Oryctolagus cuniculus: one gene and its partners. The protein of the gene in region 3 purifies or fractionates together with the protein of the main gene of each other region. This does not show direct contact. Links are inferred from orthologs where the notes say so. Each region holds a gene or a part of one and is shown on either strand. Other genes may lie near its edges.

The links.
Region 1: the proteins of EZH1 (region 3) and RBBP7 purify together in Homo sapiens (affinity purification with mass spectrometry; 4 studies listed by BioGRID and IntAct, with this or other methods). This does not show direct contact. The link is inferred for Oryctolagus cuniculus from reciprocal best matches to the Homo sapiens genes EZH1 and RBBP7.
Region 2: the proteins of EZH1 (region 3) and JARID2 purify together in Homo sapiens (affinity purification with mass spectrometry; 4 studies listed by BioGRID and IntAct, with this or other methods). This does not show direct contact. The link is inferred for Oryctolagus cuniculus from reciprocal best matches to the Homo sapiens genes EZH1 and JARID2.

Annotation. Positions count from the first base shown.
Region 1 is NC_091453.1:3,021,460-3,025,105, reverse strand, and holds part of RBBP7 (histone-binding protein RBBP7), read left to right. Parts: intron 1-2,378; coding exon 2,379-2,524; intron 2,525-3,646. UniProt on the Homo sapiens protein: Core histone-binding subunit that may target chromatin remodeling factors, histone acetyltransferases and histone deacetylases to their histone substrates in a manner that is regulated by nucleosomal DNA.
Region 2 is NC_091436.1:155,241,174-155,244,819, reverse strand, and holds part of JARID2 (protein Jumonji), read left to right. Parts: intron 1-394; coding exon 395-500; intron 501-1,098; coding exon 1,099-1,281; intron 1,282-1,669; coding exon 1,670-1,800; intron 1,801-2,493; coding exon 2,494-2,677; intron 2,678-3,546; coding exon 3,547-3,646.
Region 3 is NC_091448.1:20,190,057-20,193,702, reverse strand, and holds part of EZH1 (histone-lysine N-methyltransferase EZH1), read right to left. Parts: intron 2,288-3,646; coding exon 2,107-2,287; intron 1,866-2,106; coding exon 1,669-1,865; intron 496-1,668; coding exon 404-495; intron 1-403.

The sequences.
Region 1 (3,646 bases), on a different chromosome or scaffold from region 3:
AAAACAGATCACTTTTATGGCAGCCCTAACATTGTTCTTTGTTGCCTCCTTTTCTCAAGTGTTCCTGTTTCTGTTTGAATGTTTCTTGTGAGATTTTGTGTGTGTGTGTTGCCCTTCATTTTAAGCCACTATTCCCTGCAGAAGTTTCATTTTGTCCAGGTACATTGATTAGAACCTAATTTTCTAATATTTTTGTTTTTCAGTTTATCTGAAAAAGTTAGAGTGCTGTTTCACTCCCCAGATGGACACAAAGGCCAGGCCAAAGCAGGAGCCAGGAGTTTCTTTCAGGTCTTCCACATGAGTGTGGGGGCCCAAACATTTGAGCCATTCTCTGTTTTTCCCAAGCCATTAGCAGGGTACTTGATTGGAAGTGGAGCAGCCAGGACTCGAACTGACGCCCATATGGGATGCTTGCACTGCAGGTGGTGGCTTTACCCACTACACCACTGCGCTGGCCCCATGAACCTAATGTTCTAATTGTGGTTTTGCCGATTAAAAATAAATGGGCTTGTGCCCATTGCCCCCTCAATAAGAAGACCATTTAAGATGAAATTACTTTTTTTTTTTTTTTGACGCAAGTTGCTATTGCTTAGCCATGACTGCCTTGTTTTGGTTTTGGAGTTGTATGTTTATTTTTTTTTACCAGTGAGTCAAATCTTGGTCAAGTTTCAGCTTGTACTAGGGTACTTCAGAAAGTTCAAGGAGGGGAAGAAAAAAGATCTCCAAAAAAAGGAAAGACAATGTGGGGTGTGTGTGTGTGTGTACACAAGTTCATGGAGGGGGGGCAAGCATTGTGGGGTAGAAGGTAAAGCCACTCCTGCGATGCTGGCATCCCATATGGTTGCCAGTTTGTGTCCCTGCTGTTCCACTTCAATCCAGCTCTCTGTTAATGGCCTGGGAAAAGCAGCGCAAGATGACCCACATGCTTGGGCCAATGCACCCATGTGGGAGACGTGGAAGAGGCTCTTGGCTTCAGCCTGACCCAGCTCCAGCCTTTTGCAGCTATTTGGGGAGTAAGCCAAAGGAATGGGCGATATCTCTGTCTCTCTAACTCTGCCTTTCACATAAAATAAATCTTTAAGATTTGCAAAATTTGAAATTCGCATAGATTTTTTATGTAACACATTTTCCATGAGCTTTTTGACGACCCCACATATTTCTTAAGTAAGTTGCATGCCTTGGAAGTAACCTTCAAACTTTTTTTAAGCGTTCAGTCTTGTACAAGTGAAATTTAGAAACAGATAAGTGGTCTAATTTGTCTGATGTTGGGGGCTAGAGCCTTACTTCTCAGTCCTCCATTTAAAGTTTCTTTTCTAGATGGTACAAATGGGAAAACATTGTTGATAAGAGACTGATGTAAAAATCACTGCTTGGACTATGGTGCCGAGGTACATTGGCAAGTTCTTCAGCCTAAAGGCGAGTTTTCACAGATCAAGGCAGCAAAGACTCCTCAGTAAAATTGAGAATGCAATTTCATAACCTCGAGGAGTCATAAACATAAATATGGGGTTTTGTATCAGCCATTTGCAGTTATTACCTATTTGTTAGGTGAGGAAACTTGAGGCCCCAGGGAAGTTGTGATTTAAGCCATTGGACAAAGCTAATTTTAGTTTCAGAGAGGATTTAAACTCAGTTTTTCTGACTTCACACTTTATTCTTTCCATTTTACCTGGTTGCCTCTCATAGAGAAACCAGAAACATCTAATATTAAAAATAGGACTATGGCCTGAAAATACATTTAGGTGGGAAATCATGATTTATGAGTGATGGGCAGTAGACTCCTGTGTTTGTGTTTTCTTTCTGCCTACCTTCTGAGTGCTGCTGTAGACAAGTGTTCACATTGATAATTAAAGCAGAGGAGGATGGCTCTGTAGGAAAGAAGCAAACCCTCTGCATGTTGTATTCTATTTCCTTGCATTTTTATTTTATTTATTTGAAAGGCAGAGTTGGAGAGACAGAAATCTTCGATCTGCTGGTTCACTACCCAAATGGCCCAATGGCCAGGCCAAAGCCAGGAGCTTCTTCTGGTCTCCCACATGGGTTCAGGGGCCCAGGGACCTGAGCCATCTCTGCTGCTTTCCTAGGTGCATCAGCAGGGAGCTGGATTTGAAGTGGAGCAGCCATTACTGGGATGCCAGAGTCACAGGTGGCGGCTTTTACCCTCTACACCACAACACAAGCCTGCCCTTGTATTTTTATGTGTGGGGATTGTAAAGTTAGTTACTAGAGGGGGAATAGGTACATAGAACAGCGTTATATATATCTCTACATATATTTGTTAAAGAAATTTTAATATGTTTTGAGAGAACTAGACTGGGTTTTTTAGTAACTGAAGATTTCTTGTAGGATGAGTGTGACTTATGTTCTTTCTTAAACAGACCCGAAGGAAAAGATTATGCCCTTCATTGGCTAGTCCTGGGGACTCATACATCTGATGAACAGAATCATCTGGTGGTTGCTCGAGTACATATTCCCAATGATGATGCACAGTTTGATGCTTCCCACTGTGATAGTGACAAGGGTGGTAGGTATATCATATATTCCAACATTGATGTTTAAAGAAGTGTGCCTCTTTAAAAGCATATGTTATTAAATATACTTATACTGTTAATTTTTGGTCCAGCAGCTTAACTTCTTGGACTTTATCCTACAGAACTGCTCACCCACATGTGTGCAGAGATTTCACATTATCATTATTTACAGGATTGAAAAATTAGGACCAACCCAGCAGCTCAGAATTTGGTTCATCGGAAATTGGTTGAACACATTATGGTATATTTGAAATGCTACTAAGCAATTAATGAGAATGAGAAAAATCCATATATATGTACCAGTATGAAAAGGTGTCCAAGATAATTTAACTGAGTAACTGGCATGAATAATTATAATATTCCATTTTGGTAACAGTGGCAATATGTGTTGATGTGTGCATAGAAAAAAATCAGGAGGTATGTATACCAAAGAGTTAATAGTGGGTTTATTTATGGGAAAGATGAGCAGTAGTAGAGTTAATTTAGGAAGCTTTTGAAAATTTCTTTTTTCTTATTGTCAAATACACACAGCCCCATTTTGGTATTCTCACAACCACCCTTAGTTTGGTGATTTCCATAGAAGGAGCTACAAGACTCTAGCCATTGGCAAGTTCAGGAAGGTCAGGCACAAGTCTCACTCAAGGCCACACAGGATGTGCTCTTTCTCTGGCAGCACACTGTAGTGACATGGATAGAAAACCTCTGCCCAGGGAAGCCCAAGTGAATCTTGGGGTTTGAGGCTTTCTTGGAGGACTGGTTGCACAGGCACATCTTGCTGGTAACCAGCCATGACAGCTGAAACTCAGGACCCCGGTAATGAAGCAGGCACATTATCGTCAATCTTGCTATTTGTACAGAGCAACCCTGACAAACTGGTACAGCATGGTCCATTGCTCCAGGTGTGTACCACAAAACCATCAGTCTATCAGTAGCGTAAAGAACATTGTGAGGTCCATGTTCCCAGGAGTTGGCCAAGGGTCAGTAATGGTCCCAGTGTCCTCCAGAGATAAAATGGCTAGGCAACCAGACCTGCTGAATTAACTCTTTCTTCATAGCTTCAACTGGTTTGATAACCTTAACATTTTCTGATGCTTACTTATTGAAAATATTACATT
Region 2 (3,646 bases), on a different chromosome or scaffold from region 3:
GGCAGAGACGCTGTGGTTCCGTGTTCCCCAGAGGCTAGCAGAGATGGCCCTCTGTCTGGTTCTCGTTTAGAGGGCTTCTCCAGCATCTGGTTTTGGTTGAAAGGCTTTGGCTCACTGTGTGGGTCAGATGTACACAAAAGATGATTCTCGTATGTTGTGGGCTGGCTGCGGTTTCGGTTTGGCCCTGTGAGCCAGGATGACCGTGGCCGTGGTGGGCAGTGACAGCTCCTAGTGCCCAGCCAGCCCTGTCCCTGCCGTATGGGACCCCTCTTGTGCTAGGCCCGGTCCACTTTGCAGACCTGGGTGCTGCCTCCCCCAGGGAGGTGGGGATGGGCCCTCCTGTGCACAGTGTCCTTAGCAAGCCTGGACTTTGCCTGTGTGTGCTACACCACAGGTATTGCATTCCTGCTGAGGAGGAGAACAAGCTGGAGGGCGTGGTCCACACCCTGCTGCAGGCCAACGGCACCCCCGGGCTGCAGATGCTGGAGAGCAACGTCATGGTACGTCTCCCCCCGCCCCACGGCTTCCCAGGGCCTTGTCCTTGGGTGCTCAGAGGCTGTGCTGCGGAGTCGCCCTTCTTGCTGAGCAGCCTTTCACGGGCTCCCATCACATCCCACGGGACCCTGGGTGGTGGACGTAGGGAGTGTGCCTGGCTGCCTGCAGGTTTGTGTGGCCCCTGGCGAGGGGCCTCGGTCAGGGCAGTGGCTCTGTGTGTGCCTGTGCTATACCAATTGAGCCACCAGCAGGAACCAGCTGCTCTGGGTCTCTCTGGCCTGTGCTGATACTGTCTGTGCCTTGGGCTTGTGACTCTGAGATCCTGGGCTGTCCGGCACCTGGAGGATGACAGCGGCCCCTCCAGCAGCCTTCTGGCTATGTAATCGGCCCCATGCCTGATTCCTGGCAGTGCTGGGTGAGGTCAGAAAGGCTCGGGGTGTGGTTCCTGGGGTGGTGGGGCCAAGAAGCCGGCTCAGCCTGTCACTTTGCGGCCAGTGTTGATTTAGAACTATTGCTGCATTAGGAATGATTTCCTGCTAGTTCTAAAGGAGAAACGAGGCCGTGGGAGGAGGGCAGGGGACTCAGCCTGGCCCTGTTCCCCAGATCTCGCCAGAGGTGCTGTGCAGAGAGGGCATCAAGGTGCACAGGACGGTGCAGCAGAGTGGCCAGTTTGTCGTCTGCTTCCCGGGCTCCTTTGTGTCCAAAGTGTGCTGTGGCTACAGCGTGTCCGAAACCGTGCACTTCGCCACCACCCAGTGGACGAGTATGGGCTTCGAGACTGCCAAGGTGAGCAGGCCCAGCTGCCGCCCCCATAGCACATCCTTGCGTGTGCGCGTCTGTCTGAAATCCTGAAGCGTCGGCTGGGAGGATTTTCTGGGCAAGTTTTCAAGGGGTCGGTTGGCACTGACTAGTGTCCTCCCCGAGCTGCTTCAGGGTGAACAAAGTAAGCGGCAGTAAACCCCTGCTTTTTCTCACGATGCAGCCTCCGCCTCACGTGGAGGCGCCGCGACACGGTGTTGATGCCTTTCTCCCTTTGAACAAGATCACTTGCTGCCCATAGCTCTTCATTCCTGCTGCTTCCGGTTTGGAAATCCAGGTCGTCGGCCTGCTCCCTCCACCAGCAGCCGCCTGGACAGCAGCGTGCTGACCTGATGTGCTGTGATTCTGCTTTTAGGAAATGAAACGTCGCCACATAGCCAAGCCCTTCTCCATGGAGAAGTTGCTCTACCAGATCGCGCAAGCAGAAGCCAAGAAGGAAAACGGCCCCACTCTCAGCACCATCTCTGCCCTCCTGGATGAGCTCAGGTAAGAGCTCCGGGCCGGGGAGTGCGGCTGCCCGGCCCTGCAGCAGCCGCTCCCTGGGGACCTGGATTCGTTCTCTCCCTCGCTCCATGCTCTGCTGCGCCCAGCTCTCCTGGTGTGAGCGGGAGGTGGGCCCTGCTGACTCTGCCGTGCCTCGCCCGAGAGGGCTGTGGCCAGGTAGTGAGGGAGAGCTGTGGCGCCAGCACTGGCCTCTGCACCCCAGCAATCGAGGATGGTGTGGCGACTGACCCACAGTGCCTGAGCGTGCATCTGCGCCATCCCACTCGGGGGGGGTGTGAGGGAGAGACACCCCAAGAGCACCAGATAGTGTGGCTTCCTGCACAGCCCGGTCCTAGCAACCGGTTGTGAGCTTTGCCATTTCTGCCCCTTCCCAGGGGTGTGGGCGGCAGGCAACAATTGGGATTCTGCCTGTGTTGGCACAGCTTTGATGGTGACACCAACACAGGTTTGTTAAATCTGTCCCGGGCTCAGAGTGGTAGAGGGGCCCTAGCCACAGCCAGGCGTGCTTCTGCCCGCGAGGCACCTCGGTGGCTCCAGCAGTCTGGATGGTTCTGACGTTGTGAGTGACTAAGGGACGTGGGCTGCAGCTGGGCTCCCACCCGCGCGTGTGCACTGTGTGGGGCAGGCCGGCCCCCTGCAGAGCTGGTGGAGTGCCGGCCTCTGTGTGGCCCGCAGGGACACGGAGCTGCGGCAGCGCAGGCAGCTGTTCGAGGCAGGCCTCCACTCCTCCGCACGCTACGGCAGCCATGACGGCAGCAGCGCGGTGGCGGACGGCAAGAAGAAGCCTCGGAAGTGGCTGCAGCTGGAGACGTCGGAGCGGCGCTGTCAGATCTGCCAGCACCTGTGCTACCTGTCCATGGTGAGCCCTCCCCGGGGTGCTGGGGCCCTTCCTGGCGTTCATCCATCTCTGGGCTCCACACTCCGCGCTCCTCACTTCCTTCCCGGGAGGTCGTGCAGGGTGGGCTAGAGTGGCCCCTATGGTCCTTTGGTCATGTGACCCTCTCACACGTGGGATTCTGTTCAGGTGAAACTTCGTGCCCTGCTCATGGTGCCAGCACCCTCTGCTCCGATGTGCGCCTTGTGACCTTGCATCCGCCCATCTTGGGCTCCATTTGCCTTGACAAACTGGTTCCTGTCCGCTCTCTTGCTGGTCAAGTCCCATCTGCCTCCTTGTGGCCCCTGCCAATCCAGATTTGGTCTCAGGAAGGTGTTCCTCCTCTCCCGTCCCCAGCCCCCAGGCCAGCGTCGGACAGATGGCACTGGTGTGGCCCCCAGCCCTCAGTGGGCAGCCGCCCTGATACGGCTCTGGGCCTTGGGGCACCCCCAGCCGGGGCTCACAGTGGCTCCCTGGCGTGGAGGGTAAGCTGTCTGTCAGTCCTTGGCCCTGTCTCGCTGTTGCTCCCAGAAGCCACAGTGACTGGAACCGTGTGGCAGGACTTTGTGCCCCTTCTGTCAGTGCTGGGCCGGGGTGGAGATCAGGCCTGCCTGCCTCCCCCCACATCTCCATCACCTCCCCTGCGGCCCTGTGCAGAGGCCCAGACAGCCACTTCCAGACGAGTCCCCTGTTGTGTGTGACACTGAGAAGAGGGATCAGTTCACTTCCCTGGTGGGGGAGCCACTTCCGGGGTGCTGGTCTCTCCCCACGTCCCGTGCTCTGGGGTCACAGAAGTCCCAAGCTCTCCCCAGCCACAGGGGTGGTGCCCATGTGACGCTGGCTGTGCTGCGCAGGTGGTCCAGGAGAACGAGAACGTCGTGTTCTGCCTGGAGTGCGCGCTGCGCCACGTGGAGAAGCAGAAGTCCTGCCGGGGGCTGAAGCTCATGTACCGCT
Region 3 (3,646 bases):
TCCAACCCTGAGTGAGGCTAGCTATAAGACAGCGTTATCACACAATGCAAGTGCCAAAAAACAAGGAGAAGGAGTAAGCTTGGGGCAGAGCTGAGAAGTGGGTGAGGCGGGAACTAACCACCCAACCAGGAGGAAGGGTCTCAGGGTGGGGCCGTGGGGCCAGCCCACTTCCCACTGGCCAGGAGCTTCAATAGAAAACCAGAAAGTTATCTCACAGTCCGAGGCACCTGGGGGAGTGGGGCAGGGCCTCAGCAAGCCCGAGCCCCGAGAAGCTGCCCCTAGGCAAAAGGATGGTCTCACATGGCCCCATACAGGGGCCCAACAGGGGGCAGAAGGGAAGCCCAAGGAGAGGGCGGAGCCCAGAGCCCAGCCTGGCCACAAAAGGCCTCTGTCCAAGCCTTGCCTGTGCTTTCTCTTCTTCTTCTGCGAGGGGTTCATGAGCTCATCTGTTGGCAGCTTCAGGATAAGTGACTCTTTCACTGCAAACTGAAAGACCTGGAAGAGAAGCGCAACAAGGCCGTCACTCGTGCTCCAGCCCTGTGCTCGGGCGGGCGGCCCAGCCAGGAGCTGGGCTCAGGAGGCTTGTGTGGAGCTCACAGGCAACTGCCTGCGTGCATTTCAGCGAGGGAGAGACGGAGAGCCACCAGGACGTCAGGTCCCTGGCTCTGGGGCTAATTCCTAACAGCTGACCCGGGCGCAGGACAGCAGAAACGCCCGAACACGGCCACGCCGTGCAGGCAGCGCTTTCGCCAGCTCCCTGCCCGCCACGCCGTGGTAGGCCGAGTCTCACCAACTCTATCTGCCTCTTTTTAGGAAGGGAACTTTGCGGGCAGCGCACAGGAGTGGGTACACGGGGCTAAGCTCTAGCGCCCCCTGTTGGTACAAAGATGTCAGAGCATGATACTCGGTATGACAGCAGCTCCAGAGGGCAGCGCCCTCCCCGAGCTTCTCACAGCTCTCATTTTACCCTCTCCTTTCTCTTGCTGGCTATGGGCCCTTCTGAGATTTCTATGGAAACTACAGTTCTCATCCTCAGGAAAAAACATATGTTTTCTTTTTGCATACAATTCTGTTGCCTTTTAGGTTAGTTAGGAACCTATACCTTAAGGAAATAGGTATGAGCTCCAAGATAAAAGCAGAGGGGACTCACGGTCCTCTCGACTATCCCAAGTGAAGGAGACGAGAGGAGGAGGCCAGGAGGGAGGGAGCCCTGTGCGCAGGCCCCGCCCCGGGTCTTCAGTCTGGCAGTCTCCAGAGCACCAGGGGCTGCTGTCGCACTGTTTCTAGGGGTGGTCTGAGTCCGGAGGGAAGGCTAGGCCCAGCTGCTGGGGGCAGAAGTAGAGAATCTGGACAGTACGTGACTTAGGAGGCTGACGGAGGGCGGGGCAGTGCGCTGGCTACGGCACCCACAGCTGGCCCGAGAGGCGCTTCCAGGAAAGCAGCACACATTCAGGAGCAAAGACAGGAAGCAGAAGAAGCAACCAGAGCGTGGGCCCAGCCAGAAGTACTCAGTGGTGGTAGCGGGGAGGGCAGAGCCCCGAGTGCTGCCAGGCCCAGCATTTGACGAGGGGCACGAGCCAGACTCACAGGCCCGCCAGACAGCAATGCGACGGGCAGAGCCACGGTGAAAGAGGGGCCAGCGCTGCTTCTGCAGCTGCCAGACAGTACCTGCTTGCATGTCTTGGTCCCCAGAAGCCTGGCTATGGAACAGAAGTTGTTGAAGTAGGTGCCATGGAAGACGCGAAAGAGCGACTCCTCAGCCCCGGTCCACTCCACAAGCTCCGACGGCGCCTCCACCACGCAGAGCTGCGGCGGGGCAGGACTGGCCTTCTGCTTTGTGGGCGTCTGACAGCGGGAGTTGGCCTCTGAGAGGGAAAAAAATCAGAAACAAAAGAAGGTGGTGTGCGGTTGGCTGCACACAGAACTTCGCTCTACCGCAATGGGAGAACAGTTAATGAAAACATTCCCCATCCCCACTGGCTGCAGGTGAACTCGCGGCAAGCATGAGCAGCCCAAAAAGGCGGGAACCCTAAGTGTGAGGAGAGGTCTCGGCTTGGCCGGTGTCCTCGCACAGGGAGGAAAGGCCCTCGTTTTCTGTCACTGTACCTGAAGAGCTGGAGGCCCAGTCATTTCCTGTGTCCCTGTCACTGTCTCCTTCTTTAGTCTCAGCCACAGCAGAGGCCGACGTGTTGGTGCAGGAAGCACTGACCACGTGGTGCCTTCGCCGGCGCCGGCCAGAGCACTTGGAGCGGGGGTTATGGAGCATGGCGTACTCCTTTGCGCCCTCCTGTGGAGACGGGGCAGGTAGGAAACAGGAGCATGGGTCAAGCCACCAGCCACCTCCCACTATCACAAGTGCAACACTGCTGCCTTCCGGTTTTGCTCCGTACCATACAGCGAGTGTGAGCACAGTCTGAAATTTACAGACTTCAAAAGCTGCCCAATGATTCTAAAAGAGATATAATCTGTACATATATGCATCTTTGACTTTCCAGTAACTTGTATCTGAAGCTCACTGGTGTTGCAGCTGTGTGGAATTTGAGCACACACACCCCTGCAGATGTGGAGACAAGGCTCAGAGGGGGCAAGAGCGCTGCCGGAGAGGATCCAGCACATTGTTCCGGAGCCAAAAGCCAGGGCTCCGTCCCTGAGGCCACTGCTCTTGACATTTTACCACACTATTTGTTTCCTTCTTTTAAAAATTGTATTTACTTATTTGAAAGTCAAGAGTTACAGAGAGGCCGGCGCCGCGGCTCACTAGGCTAATTCTCCGCCTAGCGGCGCCGGCACACCGGGTTCTAGTCCCGGTCGGGGCGCCGGATTCTGTCCCGGTTGCCCCTCTTCCAGGCTAGCCCTCTGCTGTGGCCAGGGAGTGCAGTGGAGGATGGCCCAGGTGCTTGGGCCCTGCACCCCATGGGAGACCAGGAAAAGCACCTGGCTCCTGGCTCCTGCCATCGGATCAGCGCGGTGCGCCGGCTGCAGCGCGCCGGCCGCGGCGGCTATTGGAGGGTGAACCAACGGCAAAAGGAAGACCTTTCTCTCTGTCTCTCTCTCTCACTGTCCACTCTGCCTGTCAAAAAAAAAAAAAAAAAAAAAAAAGAGTTACAGAGAGAAAGAGGTCTTCCATCCACTGGTTCATTCCCTAAGTGGCCACAACAGCCAGGGCTGAGCCAGACCAACATTCAGGCCTCCCATGTGGGTGTAGGGGCACAAACACTTGGAACATCTTCAGCTGCTTTCCCAGGTGCATCAGCAGGGAGCTGGCTCAGAAGTGGAGCAATGACCAGCGCCGCGGCTCACTAGGCTAATCCTCTGCCTGCAGCGCCGGCACACCGGGTTCCAGTCCTGGTTGGGGTGCCGGATTCTGTCCCGGTTGCCCCTCTTCCAGTCCAGCTCTCTAATGTGGCCCGGGAGTGCAGTGGAGGATGGCCCAAGTACTTGGGCCCTGCACCCGCATGGGAGACCAGGAGGAAGCACCTGGCTCCTGGCTTCGGATCGGCGCTGTAGCAGCCATTTGGGGGGTCAACCAACGGAAGGAAGACCTTTCTCTCTGTCTCTCTCACTGTCTAACTGCCTGTCAAAAAAAAAAAAGAAGAAGTGGAGCAGCCAGGATTCCAAGCAGCACCCACAGTCTGTTATCAAAATA